Sus scrofa: one gene and its partners. The protein of the gene in region 1 purifies or fractionates together with the protein of each later gene. This does not show direct contact. Links are inferred from orthologs where the notes say so. Each region holds a gene or a part of one and is shown on either strand. Other genes may lie near its edges.

Evidence for each region.
Region 2: the proteins of MMS22L (region 1) and ASF1B purify together in Homo sapiens (co-immunoprecipitation; 4 studies listed by BioGRID and IntAct, counting the BioPlex papers as one, with this or other methods). This does not show direct contact. The link is inferred for Sus scrofa from reciprocal best matches to the Homo sapiens genes MMS22L and ASF1B.
Region 3: the proteins of MMS22L (region 1) and SSRP1 purify together in Homo sapiens (affinity purification with mass spectrometry; 3 studies listed by BioGRID and IntAct, counting the BioPlex papers as one, with this or other methods). This does not show direct contact. The link is inferred for Sus scrofa from reciprocal best matches to the Homo sapiens genes MMS22L and SSRP1.

What each region holds. Positions count from the first base shown.
Region 1 is NC_010443.5:64,456,483-64,461,652, reverse strand, and holds the start of MMS22L (protein MMS22-like), read left to right. Parts: upstream 1-1,696; 5' UTR 1,697-1,840; intron 1,841-2,317; exon of another isoform or gene 2,318-2,379; 5' UTR 2,380-2,394; coding exon 2,395-2,558; intron 2,559-3,593; coding exon 3,594-3,719; intron 3,720-5,170. UniProt on the Homo sapiens protein: Component of the MMS22L-TONSL complex, a complex that promotes homologous recombination-mediated repair of double-strand breaks (DSBs) at stalled or collapsed replication forks.
Region 2 is NC_010444.4:65,061,351-65,066,360, reverse strand, and holds the start of ASF1B (histone chaperone ASF1B), read right to left. Parts: upstream 3,176-5,010; 5' UTR 3,085-3,175; coding exon 2,976-3,084; intron 1-2,975. UniProt on the Homo sapiens protein: Histone chaperone that facilitates histone deposition and histone exchange and removal during nucleosome assembly and disassembly. Cooperates with chromatin assembly factor 1 (CAF-1) to promote replication-dependent chromatin assembly.
Region 3 is NC_010444.4:13,617,759-13,622,895, reverse strand, and holds the start of SSRP1 (FACT complex subunit SSRP1), read right to left. Parts: upstream 3,176-5,137; 5' UTR 3,015-3,175; intron 2,518-3,014; 5' UTR 2,433-2,517; coding exon 2,379-2,432; intron 1,944-2,378; coding exon 1,758-1,943; intron 1,106-1,757; coding exon 1,000-1,105; intron 708-999; coding exon 517-707; intron 413-516; coding exon 182-412; intron 46-181; coding exon 1-45. UniProt on the Homo sapiens protein: Component of the FACT complex, a general chromatin factor that acts to reorganize nucleosomes. The FACT complex is involved in multiple processes that require DNA as a template such as mRNA elongation, DNA replication and DNA repair.

The sequences.
Region 1 (5,170 bases):
GAAACATTGTGATAATTACCAAAATGTGACACAAGAGACACAAAGTGAGCAAATAAATGCTGTTGAGAAAATGGCGCCAATAGACTTGTTAGACTCAGAGTTGCCACAAACTGTCAATTTGCTAAAAAACACTGTTATCTAAGAAGCACAATAAAGCAAACCACAATAAAAGGAGGTCTGCCTATTTTTAATCCCTCTAGCTCCTCCCGGTTGGATACAGTTTGATACTGGTTTTGTGCCTCCATTAAGTTACTCACAGGTGGCTACCAGGTGATAGGTGGCTATCTCCTACTGCAGTAAGTCTCCCTGGGCCCTGGCAATCCCTTTCTCCCTTACCCCTTAGGCCTAAAGGTAATATTGACTCTCTGATTAGTTCCAGGTGCTTCACCATCACTTTTTGCTTTCTGCAATACTGTCCACATCTTTGTAAACTGCCCTTTCATTAAGCACCTTCCAATCACCTCTCTTGAGTATGCTATCTGTTACTTGCTGGGATTTTTACCGATATAACATTATTGCACTAGCTTAAATTATTCACAGAGAATTTCTGTTCTTCCCATTCCATTCACTGGTTTAACTAAATTAATCACTTCACATCAGGCACCTGAAGAAGGAAAAAGGGGCCTATTTGGATGTTTGATAGAAGAAGTAACAATGGCTATCTGCTGTACCAGTTCTCCTATATTCTCAAGCCTAGGCACTAAGTTTCTAGAGATTCTTGTAGATGACACCATGTGCCATGCCAGAGACCTCACACGTCCTACTAATGAGCTGCAGTGGTTCCCTACAAAGTATCAGGTCTCAGGTAGGTACCTAGGCTGAGCACAAAAAACATAGCATTCAACACAGGGGCCCCAGGCTGCAATCAAGTGGAATTTTTTCCCCACTTCTTCCCCTATGTCTGAAACTATGTGGTATTTCGTTTGAACAGGGCAAAGTTGTGACAGACTCCCTAAGTAGGAATTTAACCCAGGACAAACTATTGCAGAGGAATAGGCAATGGAGAATACTCAAATTACAGCAGGACATTTACATGAGAAATTCTCAGTTTTCTTTACATTGAAGACAGCTGTATTATCTCTGACTCAGACTGAAAAACCTTCTAAAGAGTAGATCGTAAAGAACACTTACAAAAGATAAAAATGCTGTGAAGGGGTGCTTTACAAAAGCGTTCACATTTAAGCAACTTAATCTTGCCCAGTTAGGTTTTCAAAGGGGGGGGGGGGAGTAGCAGTTTTTATATACCGAAAACAAGTACCATGTGACCTACTTAGTGTTTCCACACAGTGAATTCGTCTCATTTGTGCACTTGCCTTGCCCGCAATCCAAGAACAGGCATCCTCGACTTCAACAAAAGAGCTACTAGTACTAGCGCGGGAAGAAGAGAGGATGGCACGGTCCGGAGACACCAGCTTGGGATTCACAAGAGCACAGCTCTTTTCCAAGCTCAGCTAGATGGCAACCCGGCCAGTCCCTAAGCCTTGCTCACCTCAGCCAGTTTCCTTTCTCAGTGAGGCCCCGCCTTCTGGCCCAAAGTACCAATTAAAACTACCAAAGGAAAAAGAAAAAAAAAAAAGAAAGAAGAAAAAAAAAAAACCAATAAATTGCCGGACCGCGTCCTTGACTGGCAGACTCTCGCGAGAACTTGAGGAGTGCCGGCTGTTCCTGCGGAGACCTCGCGAGCCGACCTCCGGGGGCGGGCTCCGCGGTGGCCCCGCCCTTCCTGAGCGCCGGCGCGCCTTGGCGGGAATTTCGCCTGTTTGGGATTTAGACCCCACGGACTCGCTAGTTGTGGTCCGGACTGCTGAGGGCGGATCTCGGGGACTGAAAGCGTGAGCAGGTACGACGTGCCCTAAACTGGGGGTACCTGGGTGTGCAGAACACCAGCTCTGTGGTCGGCCGCGCCGATTGGTGCCTTGTGCGGATCTGGCGGGACTTGCCCTTTGCCCCGTAAGGAGTGGGGTTTTGCGTCGGGCCCTTCTGGTCCCTACCCTGAGTCTGCAGGGGAGCTTATAGTTCCCGGCACTGCAGGAAAACGGGCTCAGTGAGGTTTGGTAACGTAGCGTAGGGCACAGGTCCAGGCGGGCTCTGGAGTAAAGCTAGATCTTTCCTGCAAATCTGCTTTCCTCTTAACCCAGTCCCGGGCCGCAGGTCCGACGTAAAGGGGATTTCTGAGATCTAACATCCTTAGTCTCCGGGAGTCAGTTGGGGGAGAGTTGCTGAGGATTTGACTTCTTGGTTTTTTTTCTTTGTGCTGGGGGTCGTTTGGGGAACTTTCTGAGGTCACCTCCAGTTTCTCTGCCCGCCCCACCTCCAGGAATCTCGTCACAACTTCTTTGGAGCCTTGATGATAATCATAATGAACCCCACAAATTTCAGGACATGAAGTAAGCAATGGATAGCTGTTCTGCTGCATCAACATTCCTGACCGACAGCTTGGAACTAGAACTGGAGAGAGAATGGTGCAACCCCCCTTGCTTTTCTTGTGATTTTGACAACAGAGGAGGAGGAAGGCATTTTTCTGGAGAGTCCTACCTTTCCAGCGGAGCCCTTAAGCGGTAGGTAAAAAATCGGACACTTTGTTTTTCCCTATTCAGATTTTTTATCAGGCTGTTTAGGAATGTTATTTAACTATGACTTCAGGCAATTAAACTTTGATGACCACCAAGCAGTTTTTGTAAGTCGGTGTACTACATCACACGGATACAAGCTTATGCTGTTGGTTTCCTCCTTGGAGTTTATCTGAAAGATTTTTGGAGGGAGAGCTTTCTTGTTACCTGAGGCTTTCTTACCTCACTACTGCCTCCGCTTTGGAGTAGGGAGCTGGGCACTGATTTACCTTTTATTTAAAGTGAAATCTGAACTACCTGGGCTTTTTAAAGTGGCATTTCCTTCTAAAACATGAGACAATGTTCTGAAGCTTCTCAATAATTCCTAAGTACACATATGCATTTTTTGTCACCCCAGTGTCTTCTAATTCTGTATATTTATACATACAGAAATCTTATAGACTTATTTTTCTTTAACACTCTAATAAATGCTCCAGATGGTATAAATTCACAGAAATGTTATTCTTCAAATCTCTTGTTTTGGATGTATACACATATTGCAGTCAAACTGCTGTGATTGAAATATTTTAGAAATGTTTGCTGAGGCAATTTCATCAGAAAGGAAACCATTTTTGTGGATTTTCACAGCTGTACCTTCTTTGAGACCTTAAAAGATATTATTCAGCTTGATTATGCCCTTCTTTAGTCATGGTTCAGAATAGCTTTTAACTGTTTTAAAAATTACATGTCCCCTCAAAGGGTGAAATTCTACAACTGAAGAACAGAGTGAAGACAGATGAAAGTATGTTCCCTAGAATCCTTTTGACTTTTTCTCAAGTTACATTTCTCTTTACTTATCCTTTCTTAATCACAATATAGGATTGAATTCTTAATACAGTCTAGCTTCAGTATTCCTAAGACATGATGTATCAGGCATTTCTTGACTTTATAACATCATGGTGGACTTGTCATATGTAATATGGATTCATATAATATACGGGATTTAGCACATCGTGTGAGATTAAATCAGTGTTTTCATTTCAGGCTAATTTTGAATCTCGATCCTTTACCAACTAATTTTGAAGAGGATACAGTGGAAATATTTGGCATTCAGTGGGTTACCGAAACAGCATTAGTGAATTCATCTAGAGTTCTCTTTCATCTATTCAGGTATGTTTTGTTTTATTTTTAATGGCTGTTAAGAGTAGATGCTGTTCAGCTTTAAGTTACATTAGTGGGTAGTTTCTAATTTTGATATTACAAAAGCACCTGTAGAATTGTGCATGATGCTCACTTGATTACCTTATCAGTAACAATTAAGCAATAATGTTTGGTGGATTAGGGATTTTGATGAGATCTTCATTACTGATATTCAGAATTTTTATTCTTCTGTATTTGACAGCATATATTAAAGACAAATATTTAAGGCTTTGAACTGTACAATAATTTTGGAAGAAAAATGAAATATTTTTGTGTTTAATAGCCATTTTTTTAATAATGTATAGAGAATGAACTCAGACTTTCCAAATATATTTTTCAAACTATATAATAGAAATGTGTTTAACTTGGACAATATTACAAAAAAACTTTCAATGAAAGCTTTCAAACACAAAAATGTGGAGAGAATAGTATAATGAATCTCTATAGACCCTCTTTCAGTTATAATAAACATCATGTTTTTATCACATTTTCCTCATGTGTTCTTTTCCCTCTCCTTTCTTTTTTTTTTTTTTTTTTTTTTTTTTGTCTTTTTGCCTTTTCTAGGGCCGCTTCCCATGGCGTATGGAGGTTCCCAGGCTAGGGATCTAGTAGGAGCTGTAGCCACCAGCCTACGCCAGAGCCACAGCAACGCGGGATCCGAGCCACGTCTGCGACCTACACCACAGCTCATGGCAACGCCGGATCGTCAACCCACTGAGCAAGGCCAGGGATCGAACCCGAAACCTCATGGTTCCTAGTCGGATTCGTTAACCACTGTGCCAAAACGGGAACTCCTCACTCTCCTTTTTGCTTAAGTTTTTTTTAAGCAAATTCCAGGCATCATGTCATCTCATCCTTAAACACTTCACTATGCATTTCTTAAAAATATGAACTTTTTAAAATGTAAATATTATCTCATTATCACAATTAACAAAATTGAAACAATTCTTCATTTTTATTTAAAACCTAGTCCATAATTCACATTTTAGTTTTCGAAATGGAGTCATTTATCAAAGACAAATTATTATCCCAGAACACATTAAGAAGCATGGTAATTTTAGGAGTTCCCGTCGTGGCGCAGTGGTTAACGAATCCGAATAGGAACCATGAGGTTGCGGGTTCGGTCCCTGCCCTTGCTCAGTGGGTTAATGATCCGGCCTTGCCGTGAGCTGTGGTGTAGGTTGCAGACACGGCTCGGATCCCGCGTTGCTGTGGCTCTGGCGTAGGCCGGCGGCTACAGCTCCGATTGGACCCCTAGCCTGGGAATCTCCATATGCCACTGGAGCGGCCCAAGAAATAGCAAAAAGACAAAAAAAAAAAAAAAAAAAGGCATGGTAATTCTAAAATTTATATGGAACCACAAAGGATCCCAAATAGCCAAAACAATCTTAAGAAAGAACAAAGCTGGAGGCATAACTTTC
Region 2 (5,010 bases), on another chromosome or scaffold:
TTGCATACAGGTAACACTGTGTACTTAACCTTCTGAGAAATTTTAAGGGTAAACTGACTACATTACATTTTGTCTTTATGCCTTAACTTTATAATCTAACCACTGCACAAGATGGTCCTCCCTTATGTATGAAAGCAAACCCCAAACCAATGATGATGAAAGACATGTAAAAACAAAATTACTGTAGTTCAACTAGCTGGAGAATCTGTTCCGTGATTTTAAAAACAACTTATTGGAGTTCCCTGATGGTTAAGGATGCAGCATTATCACTGCTGTGGTGCAGGTTCGATCCCTGGCCTGGGAACCTCCACATGCCATGGGTGAAGCCAAAAATTAAAAAACAAAACCAACTTAACCAATAGGGCTTTTTCTGTTTATCATTTTCCCTTTATTTATAATCATACATATGAACCTTGGCTTGTCTATAGCATGTTAAGTGTGGGTCAGAACATCTGGCTCTAAGACTTATTCAAGCAGCATCCGTTGAATTTCTCAATTAAATAGGGGAAAAACACATCTAATGTATTGAATGTGGACTCATGATTTGCAAACATCTATTTCCAGATGCTAAGAAGAAGAGAGAGCAAAAGAGGTTCAGAGCCCTTGAGAAATGGGTCAGACTGGGGGCTGAGTGTTCAAATCTTCAGTTACCAGTATCTGAAGTCACTAGGAAACAAGACTGAGATTTCTCCAGGATCTGAGAGAATTCTAAAGCCAGACCCACTCCATCTGTTTGGGAGGCAGGAAACAAATTCTCTCTGCTCTGTGGGAAGAGGCAGAAAGCAAGTTGGCAGGTCAGAGTCAAGGATAGCCCTAGAGGTACAACAAAAGACTCTACATTTCCAGGTTTTCTAACTGGAATTTCTCTGAGCAAAAGCTTCACTGTCCAGGTATAATTAATAATAGCACCACCTTTCCCTCTTTTGACAGTGTTTTCATGTGGAAATAAAATCTATGGTCAGTCCTATTTACATTCCACAGGAGAGGCCTTTCCCTGGTTACAGAAAGATAAAGAACTTTGGACAAAGAACTCAGAGACAAGACCTAGTGTCAATAATTCTACAAACTGGCTATGTGACCTTGGAGAAATCATTCCATTTCTCTCTATTAAAAGATAATGACCGGGGATCCCAGTGTGGCTCAGTGGTTAATGAAGCTGACTAGTAACCATGAGGTTGCTGGTTTGATCCCTGGCTGAGCTCAGTGGGTTAAGGATCTGGCGTTGCCGTGAGCTGTGGTGTAGGTCGCAGATGAGGCTTGGATCCATCGTTGCTGTGGCTGTGGTGTAGGCCGGCAGCTGTAGCTCCAATTTGACCCATAGCTTAGGAACCTTCATATGCTGTGGGTGCAGTCCTAAAAAAGAAAAAAAAAAAAGAAAGATAATGATCAGCAGGTTGACTTTAGCCTTTCCTGTGCTGATTCTAGTAACAGATTAGTAAAGTAACAGGAGAGGAACTTTGTAGGAGTAAATGTACTAGATAATGACCATGCAACCATGTTTAACCCCGAGGATCACAAACAGACATACTGAAACTCAATCTTCTGCCATCTGGCTCTGTGAATCCCTTAACCTATTAGCTCCTTACATCTCCTCCTAGCTTTAAAATGAAATCTTATTCCACAGGGTGATTCTTCACTTTATTTATTTACACTGTCTTGTTCCAGAAAGGATTTAACTGGGCTTATACTATAGTCACAAGTAGATTCCTTAATTTAGAAAGGAGAGAAACAGGGAAGATTGATCCATTGGCCCAGTCTAAGCACACACACACACATATATCAAAAGGGTTATCAACTCCAGGCTAGACCAAGTGGCTAATTTGCATGCAAAGCACACACCTACCACTGAGAGGTGCTAGTTAGCACACCCTGGCCTCACAGATCTCCACCTCCTTAGCCGCTGCCTCTTAACCACTAAGTGGAGAAGAGGTCTAATGGAGTACTTTCTCCCGAAAGTGGTGCCAAAACTCTCTGAATGACCTTAGATTTTTTTTTGATTTTTATAGAAGTACAAAAAAGGTGTTTTACTCTTTGTGGATCCCATGCTCTCATCTGTGAGATGAGAGTCATGTCCACCTTTGTCACACAGATGAATAAGTACATCTATAAAAGCGCCTTGAAAAAGATGCACAAAAGGTTGTGACCTCTGAGCTGATTGAAGCCAGATACCTTCATGGCTCAGCCTGGCATACCCACCCTCCAGATTAGGTCAGACCATCAAAAGTGGGGGAGAATTGCTACAGTAAGTCAGCAGGAATCTGGCAGGCAAATGGTAAGAACCAACTTATGCTTGTTTGGCCATGCTTCCCCAGGTAGAGCATCAGCAAGCAGGGAGGAGATTATGGGAAGACAGATGGGAAGATGGGGGTGAGTGAGGTCTTGTCACAGGGGGAGAGGGTCTTCATTGGGAAAATGGAACAGGGGGCTGAAGTTGCCATATAGGAAAGGGGCGGGAGCTGGGGTTTCCATAAGGAAAATGGGAGGGTGCTGAGGTTTCCATAGGGAAATTGGGAGGGGGCTTGGATTTCCATAGGAGAAATTCGAGGGGGCTGGAGGTTGGGGTTTCCATAGGAAAAAAGTGAGATGGGAGTGCCTCACCACAGGGGACAGCCTTTTGGTGGGGAGGACTGAATGGCTGGAATGGCGGCTTGCCCCTAAATAGTAGGTAGGTAGGGGCAGTCTCTTGCTACAGGAAAGTCAGGGTGGCTGACGGTCTCTACCTAGAAAACGGGTACCCAAGAGGAGAGCTACAGGAAAAAGAGGGGGATAATGAGGTTTTCACGGGGGAAAACGCGAGTAACCATAGGGGTACGGTGAAGGGGTAGTTTCCCAAAGGGGAGGTTAAGGCTGGGGGTGGGTGTTGGTTTACGGGAAATCAGATTTGGGGGAGAGGGGGTGTTTCACAGGGTTGTCTCCAAGGGGAGGGTCGGGGCGGCCCAGGGGAGGGGGGTCGCTCCACGCAGGCCCAGTCTCACCGTCCGTCAGGGCCTCATTGCACTCGAAGCTGATCTCGAACCGGAAGGGGCTGTGGAAAGGGCTCGGATTCTCCAGAACAGCCACGTTCAGCACCGACACCTTAGCCATTGCCTCGTCGGGCCGAGGCTGAAGCCAGAGCTGGGGCCAAGACTACGTTTGGGTCTTGTCAGGTCAGCAGAACAGCGTTACCCAAAACTGCTCGCGCCTCCTCCGATCGCGGTCTGAAGAGCTAATCTTCTTCGCGCGCCTCCTTCAAATAGCCGGCCCCACCCTCCAGCCAATCACCGTCAACGCTCCCTGGCGGCGCGAGCGCCCCCCCAGCCAATCCTGGAGCGTCGGTAGGCAAGCGCCGAGACTCCCGAGACCAATCGGTGGAGCTCCCTCTTCTGGATGCGGGAGGGAGGCGGGACAGTCTCTTGGCTTCTTTGGGAGTCCGCCGGGAACCAATCCCTAGAGTCTCCGACTCGAATGTCAAGGGCGGGGTGGGCGGGGTCAAAACGCAGGGCTCTTCTTGGCCAATCCCGAGGGTCCCCGCACTAGCGCTGTCCGGACTTAGCCCCGCCCTTCCGGGAGGTGCTTCCAGCCGCGGGCAGCGCCGCCAACCGTCAATTGGTGGCGCGCGGCGCTCGCCAAATCCCCTCTTAAAGTGCGGGAAGGGCGGTGCTTGACCTGCGGTGATTGGCAGGCAGGGGTGGGGCGGGAATAAAGCCGATTCTCTGAGAGTTTATTGGCTGAGTTGACCTTGGGGGGCGGGAGGAAATAAGACTCGGTGGGGGATTCGTAGGAGTGGAGCGGAAGTCGACTGCCGGCGCTGTTGAGCGGGGTGTAAGAAGAGAAAGGAAGAGCGTTTGCGGCTCTGGAGTCTCAGCAGGTGAGCGTTGCCGGAAGTTTCTCTATGGGTCTCCTGGCCCTTCAGGCCCAGCGGCCCGGGAGTCCGTTGTGAACGTTGTGAACGTTTAACCCATCCCTGAAGGGAGACGGTGTGACAGTAACGGGGCTCACGGGGGCCTGGGTCGCGGGAGTCGGGCTTGGTTCGAATCCGGCTTTTTCCCCTTCGAGAGCCTCTGGGGAGGTTTCAGGTAGACACGCTGTAAATGAGAGTTCGAGTCCGGCCTCTTCCACTTACCTCTCGAGGCCACCCTTCCCCGCGCGTTGAACAGGGTCATGAAAATTTACTGGCAGGATTTATGACTGCATAATACATCTAGAAACTTTACTCCCACACTGGGGCTGGAGCGCCGTCGCCCCCTGTCTGGAAGACTGTAGGGACATCCGCACTCACTCCCTGCTTCCACCTGTGACAGCGCACCTAGTTTTACACTTTTCTGAAGTTAACCACGTTTTTTAAAAAAGTTTAAAAAGTTAATTTTAACATACTCTTAAATATATTAAAATTTAGCTGAAACACCTTTTCAGCATATGTTCAGTATTAAAAAATACAACACAGGTAGCTTACATTTTGTTACTCAGCACGAAGCTGTTGAAATCCTTTATTTTACTTAACAACACGTCTGTGATCTGGACGCTACATTTTCACTGAAAATTAGCTTAGATTTCATAAAATTTACAGCTGTATTGTAGACTCATATGCCCACGCTGTTCCCAGCAAGCTTAAAAGTTTCCCATGAGTTAGATCTCATGTCGGTTTTATTTATTTTTTTAATTGTATTTTTTTTTTTTGTCTTTTTTTTTTGCTATTTCTTGGGCCACTCCCGCGGTATATGGAGGTTCCCAGGCTAGGGGTCTAATCGGAGCTGTAGCCACCGGCCTACGCCAGAGCCACAGCAACGCAGGATCTGAGCCGTGTCTGCAACCTACACCACAGCTCACGGCAATGCCGGATCGTTCGTTAACCCACTGAGCAAGGGCAGGGACCGAACCCGCAACTTCATGGTTCACTAGTCGGATTCGTTAACCACTGCGCCACGACGGAAACTCCTCATGTCGGTTTTAAATTGAAATGTTAGTTGATGAAAGTTAGGTGATATGAAATGTTCCTTTTCACAGTGGCACTAAACACATTTCAGATGTTCA
Region 3 (5,137 bases), on another chromosome or scaffold:
GTGGTAGCGGGTCTGGCCCTGCTTGATGGGGGGATCCAGGCTGATCTGGGAAGGAAGAGCCGACCAAGTTCAGCAGCAGTCAGTGCTCCACAGGGCCGTGCGGCTAACTGAATGTGGGGGAGATCTGTCTACTAAAGACGGGGGCAAAACCCAGCACAATGCACCCCCAGTGGTTTCTTACCACAAAGAACATCTGGCGCTGGTCCTTGTGGGGCAGCAAAAAGAGACGCAGCACTGTGGTGTAGGGGATCTTGTAATCGAAAGTCTTGCCGTGTAGGTGCAGAAAAGTGGGGTAGATGCGAATGTCGTAACGGCCTCGGGGAGTCAGACACTGCAGCTCCCGGAAGATGCAGATGGCATCTCCGGTGGCCTGGATCACATCCGCCTTCGACAGCACATTCTGGGCAAAGGCCTATAAGAGCACACCCTGGCAATCGAGCAGCAGAGATCCTGCTCCTGGGCCACCCAGGGCCTGCTCAGCACCATCTGCTCCCAAGAGACCAGGGGAGGCCTCACCTCAACGGGGTCCACGCCATCCTCCTGGGTGGGGGGCACGTAGAAGCGCACCTCCATGAGAGAGACCTCTGCATCGTCATTCTGGTGGAATTCCAGTGTCACCTCATTCTTGCCTGTGGTACACTGGGACACGTTGCTGAGAGGGATCTCGAAGACCGGCTGGTCACCAATGTCAAAGGAAAGCAGCTGCCCTGTAGGAAAGGGCACACTGAGCCACAAGCTCCTTCCCTCGGCTCCGCATAAACAATGTTCCTTCCTACCAGCCTAGAGGCTCCCAAAGGACAGGGCACTGAGACCATTTTGTTCGCACTGTGCCCCAGGGACCGGGCACAGTGCCTCATACAGTGTTGGTCCTCGATAAATACGTGATGAATTACAAACTGGTAGGAAATCAGAAACAGCGGAGGAGAGCAAAACAAGTTAAAGGCTGAAACCCTTCAGCCTACCTCCTCCCCGCAAACCTCAATCTTCCCCAGGACTCACCCCCAAACTTCACTGTTCCCCAGTTCCAACCCTTCACACAGAGGTCCTTTTCCATCAGCTCAAGGCGATAGTGAGTTTTGAAGAAATCAGAGAGTTTCTCGAACTCCTGTGGGAAGAGGGGAAAGAACAAGCCCAGTGAAACCCCAGTAGCCTTAACACAGAACTTGAGGGTCCTGAGATTATCTGCTTCTGAGAAACGACCCCAATAAACTTTCATCAGAAATCCACGCTGACTTAGAGCTATAATATTGTTAAAACACTGTTGAAAAAGGCTATTTCTGGGGACTGGCTGGACTCGGGCTGGGGGAGGAGTAAAGTAAGGACTGACACTCCTGCTTGCAGGTCTCACAGTGTTTTTCTGACTTTGGACAGGTATTCCTTTAGTGAAAGTGGAAATGAAGTAAAGTCTTTAACACAAGCCGTTCAAAATGGAAAAACAACACCAACCTAAAACCTCAAGGTAAGCCCCTGAACCTGGATAAGGCAACAGGCAGAAACCACCAAAAAAAAAAAAAAAAAAAAAAAAAAAAAAAAAAAATCAAAACAGTAGAAAAGTTTCTGGAGTTAAAGCACAAAGAAACTCCCGAGACTCTGCAGCCCAAAGCTGAACACTGACTGCTTAATGGCTTCCACGGTCCTGCTTTAAGGATCCCAAACTAGCAACTGCACGGTTATCAGAAGGAGCCCCACTTCTCTCAAGAAGATTAAAACTAAAGAAGATGGCACAGTAAAGGGGGCTATGGCAAGGGGCATCTCACCGATTCTCGGAAGCCGTCGTACTTGTAGACGTGGCCATTTTTCGTGAGCAGTTTAAGTCCATGGCCCAGAGCTACTCGGCGCCAGATCCCTTCGGTCAACTCCCCAGCCTGGATGTTGTCCACTTTGCCCGTTTTACTGTTCTTGAAGATGATGCCCTGGCGGCTCAACCTCAGCCGACCATCATTCTGTTGGGAAAACAGGCCCAAATGCACAGGGACGACCATAGCGTAGAGCAGGGACGGTCCCACCCAACACCCATTCTGGGCTGGTCAGGTATCAGGCAGGAGCAATAACAGCTGAAGTGGTGAGGGCTGGCAAGAAGAGACGAGTAAGGCCAGAAGATCTGGATTCTAATCCTCGCTCTGGCATCCAGAACCCGTGCAGGTCCTCAGTTTGGGGATTCAGGATTGAGCAGCAGGTGTAGTCCCTTCAAACTCTGACATCCTGTAACTCTTGTATCCTCACTCAGTAATGCTTCTTGTTGGGGAACTACCAAATACACATCGAACTGACTTCTTTTCCAAAGTAGCAACATCATCAGCACAAGCTCTTGCGAGTGGATAAAAAGTCTACTCCGCCTCCCTCCCTCCATCTGTTTCAAAAGCCCCAGTCCTTCTTACCATAGAGCCTTTCACCTCCTGATACACGTCGTTGAACTCCAGTGTTTCTGCCATGCTGACCTGCCCCTGTAGGCCTCAACTGGGAGCTGGGCCCCAACTCCTGGGTACGTTGTGCAGATACACAACGCAGGCTGGGAATCTGAATTGAAGAGGGATAAGTGGATTGAAGTTAAGTGGAAAAAACAACACCTCATGCTGGCCACGGAGGGAGCCTAGTGGCAACCCTTCCTGTGCCTGGGATGTCTCACGATCTCCCTGCCTGGGAACCCTGCAAGCCGGTTCTGCAGAACTCCAGGGCCAGGCCCGGCCGGGGCTTAAGAAGCCGGCCCGAAGTACCTCTTACATCCCAACCAGACACCCCCTCTGGGCGCTCCACCGGGCGCCATGGCAACGAGCAGCGGAACCCCTGGGCCATCCGGAGCCCGCACCTCGCCCGCGCCCCAACCCCGCTCAAAAAGCACGAGTTCCCTCCCAGCGCTCCCACCGCGCCGCGGCCCCAGGCCCACAGTTCTCCCCTCCCGCTAAAATGGATTCGCCCGCTGCCCGCGGATTCCAACGCGGAACAGTCCATCCCACGCGTCCCGCGGGGGAGCAGGGCCCTCGCCTTCCTGGGGCGCGGCGATAGCGACCACCTACTTTCTCAAGCTGCGGCCTCAGACGGCCCGCAAGCGGGCGGTGGGCTCGCTGGGGGACGCAGCGGGGGTGTAGGGTCCGGGGGGTCCGGGGGGGACGCTGGGGAAGCTTTTCCCGCGTGCGCGGCCCCGCGTCCCGCCACCGGAAGCCCAGCACGGACCATAGAGAGGAGGAGCCGGCTAGAGAGGCGCGAAACGCGGCCCGCCTTCGAGGCGGTCCCATAGAGCGTCCACAGCGCTGGAGGACCTGAGGGAAGCCGGGTTACACTGATGTCCCGCCCGTTTGGCGTCCGACTAGAAAATGGGAGCGTGTCGGGCTCTTTAAAAATCACAGACACTCCTTCCGGGAACGACAAGACTTTAAAGAGAAACTGTGTAGTTGCATTTTATCAGACTTGCCAAAGATGCGTGTGCGTGCGTAGCAATGACGGGCGACTCTCTCCCGCCCCATAGTGGTTTCTGTGGAATAGAAAGGAGTTTGTAGGACAAGAAGGAAAATATTTAACGACTTGTGGAGAGAAATGACCCCTCCCACTGGCTTCGAAGAGAATGCGAGTGTTGGTATCGCTGTGACTATACTGCTCACCCCTGTCACAAGGGATTGGATCCTTTTTGAAGTGAGTTCACTGCACCCCAAAACTTGACATCGATAAATGCAAGGTTTGAGTCTCCTGGAAGAGGCTGGCCAGCGGCGGCGGCGGCGGCGGTATCAGGTTCAAGTGCTGGTGTCACATTCACCGTGGAGCCAGAACTGATTTGAAATCACAGCAGCCTGGGCTTTCATAAGCCAGATCCCCCTTATGGAGTCCTAGGGTGCACCTCGCAAAATCAGAGGAGGCTGGACGAGTAAGAGATGTTTGGATTCGTCTGCTCCAGCTTCCTTTTGAAGATCGGGAAACTGAGGCCCTAAGAGGAGTGGCCTGGGGAACAAAACCCAAAATCTACTTAGCCCGTCTAGTGATTCTCCATTCGGAATGATTGATAATAGATGTCAAGTATACAAAACATTGAGACAGAATATTTAAACTCCAGATTTCTTTGACAGTCTGACCTACAGTTACCCCAGCTTGGGACACAAGATGACGTGAATGCACTGTTGCTCCCTGAACTCACGACTTTAACCTCTGGGTAATGGCTGTTCCCACGCTATCTAGCAACATAAGCCAACTAGATTCAACAGATATGTGTTGAACTCTAACACAGTGATAGGATTTGTGGAAACTAGTAAACAAGATGGAAACAGCCCCAGTTTTCCAGGCATGTGACATCTAATAAATGATTCAAATAAGTAAACTGATGGTAAAACAAAATAGAACAAGAAAATACCCAATGTGGGAGTTCCCTTCGTGGCTCAATGGTTAATGAACCCAACTAGGCTCCACAAGGATGTGGGTTCGATCTCTGACCTCCTTCAGCGGGTTAAGGATCTGGTGTTGCCGTGAGCTGTGGTGTAGGTCGCAGAAGCAGCTCGGATCCCACGTGGCTGTGGCTGTGGCATAGGCCGGCAGCTGTAGCTCTGATTCGACCCCCTAGCATTGGTAACCTCATATGCCATGGGTACGGCCCTAAAAAGCAAAAAAAGAAAAAGAAAAGAAAAAGGAAAAAAACCCAATGTGATAGTGCTCTGCAGGTAGAGCTTCAGTCACTGCCAACATGAGTAAGAAATAGGAACTATGTAACCCCAATCACCCTCACCCAGGAGACCAAGAGAAACATTCAGGAGACCCCTCCCCTTGACCCATGTATTGCCGGCAACTCAGGAAGGGAGGAGACGCCTGCAGAATTGAACGGCTTTAAGGAAGACACTCTGGATTGAAGGGGATACTCAGCTCAGGCAGGCTATTAGGTGGCTGGGGAGTGGTGTGTTGCAAGGGGCTTTAAAGAGAGCATGAAGCAGCTGGTGAGCCGGGATGAAGATGCAGCATAAGAGGATGGAACCGAAACGATAGACAGAGTGCAGATAAAACATGAGTCCTAGAGGGCCCTAGCCAGCTGCATCCCAGGCAATCAGGAGCCTGGGATTGGAGACCCCACCCCTACCATGACATCACAGGGGAGTGGGGTGGAGACGAACAAAAAGGGGGTCCCCCGCCCTGGCCTTGGACTCTTGGCAGCTCAGAGTGTCAA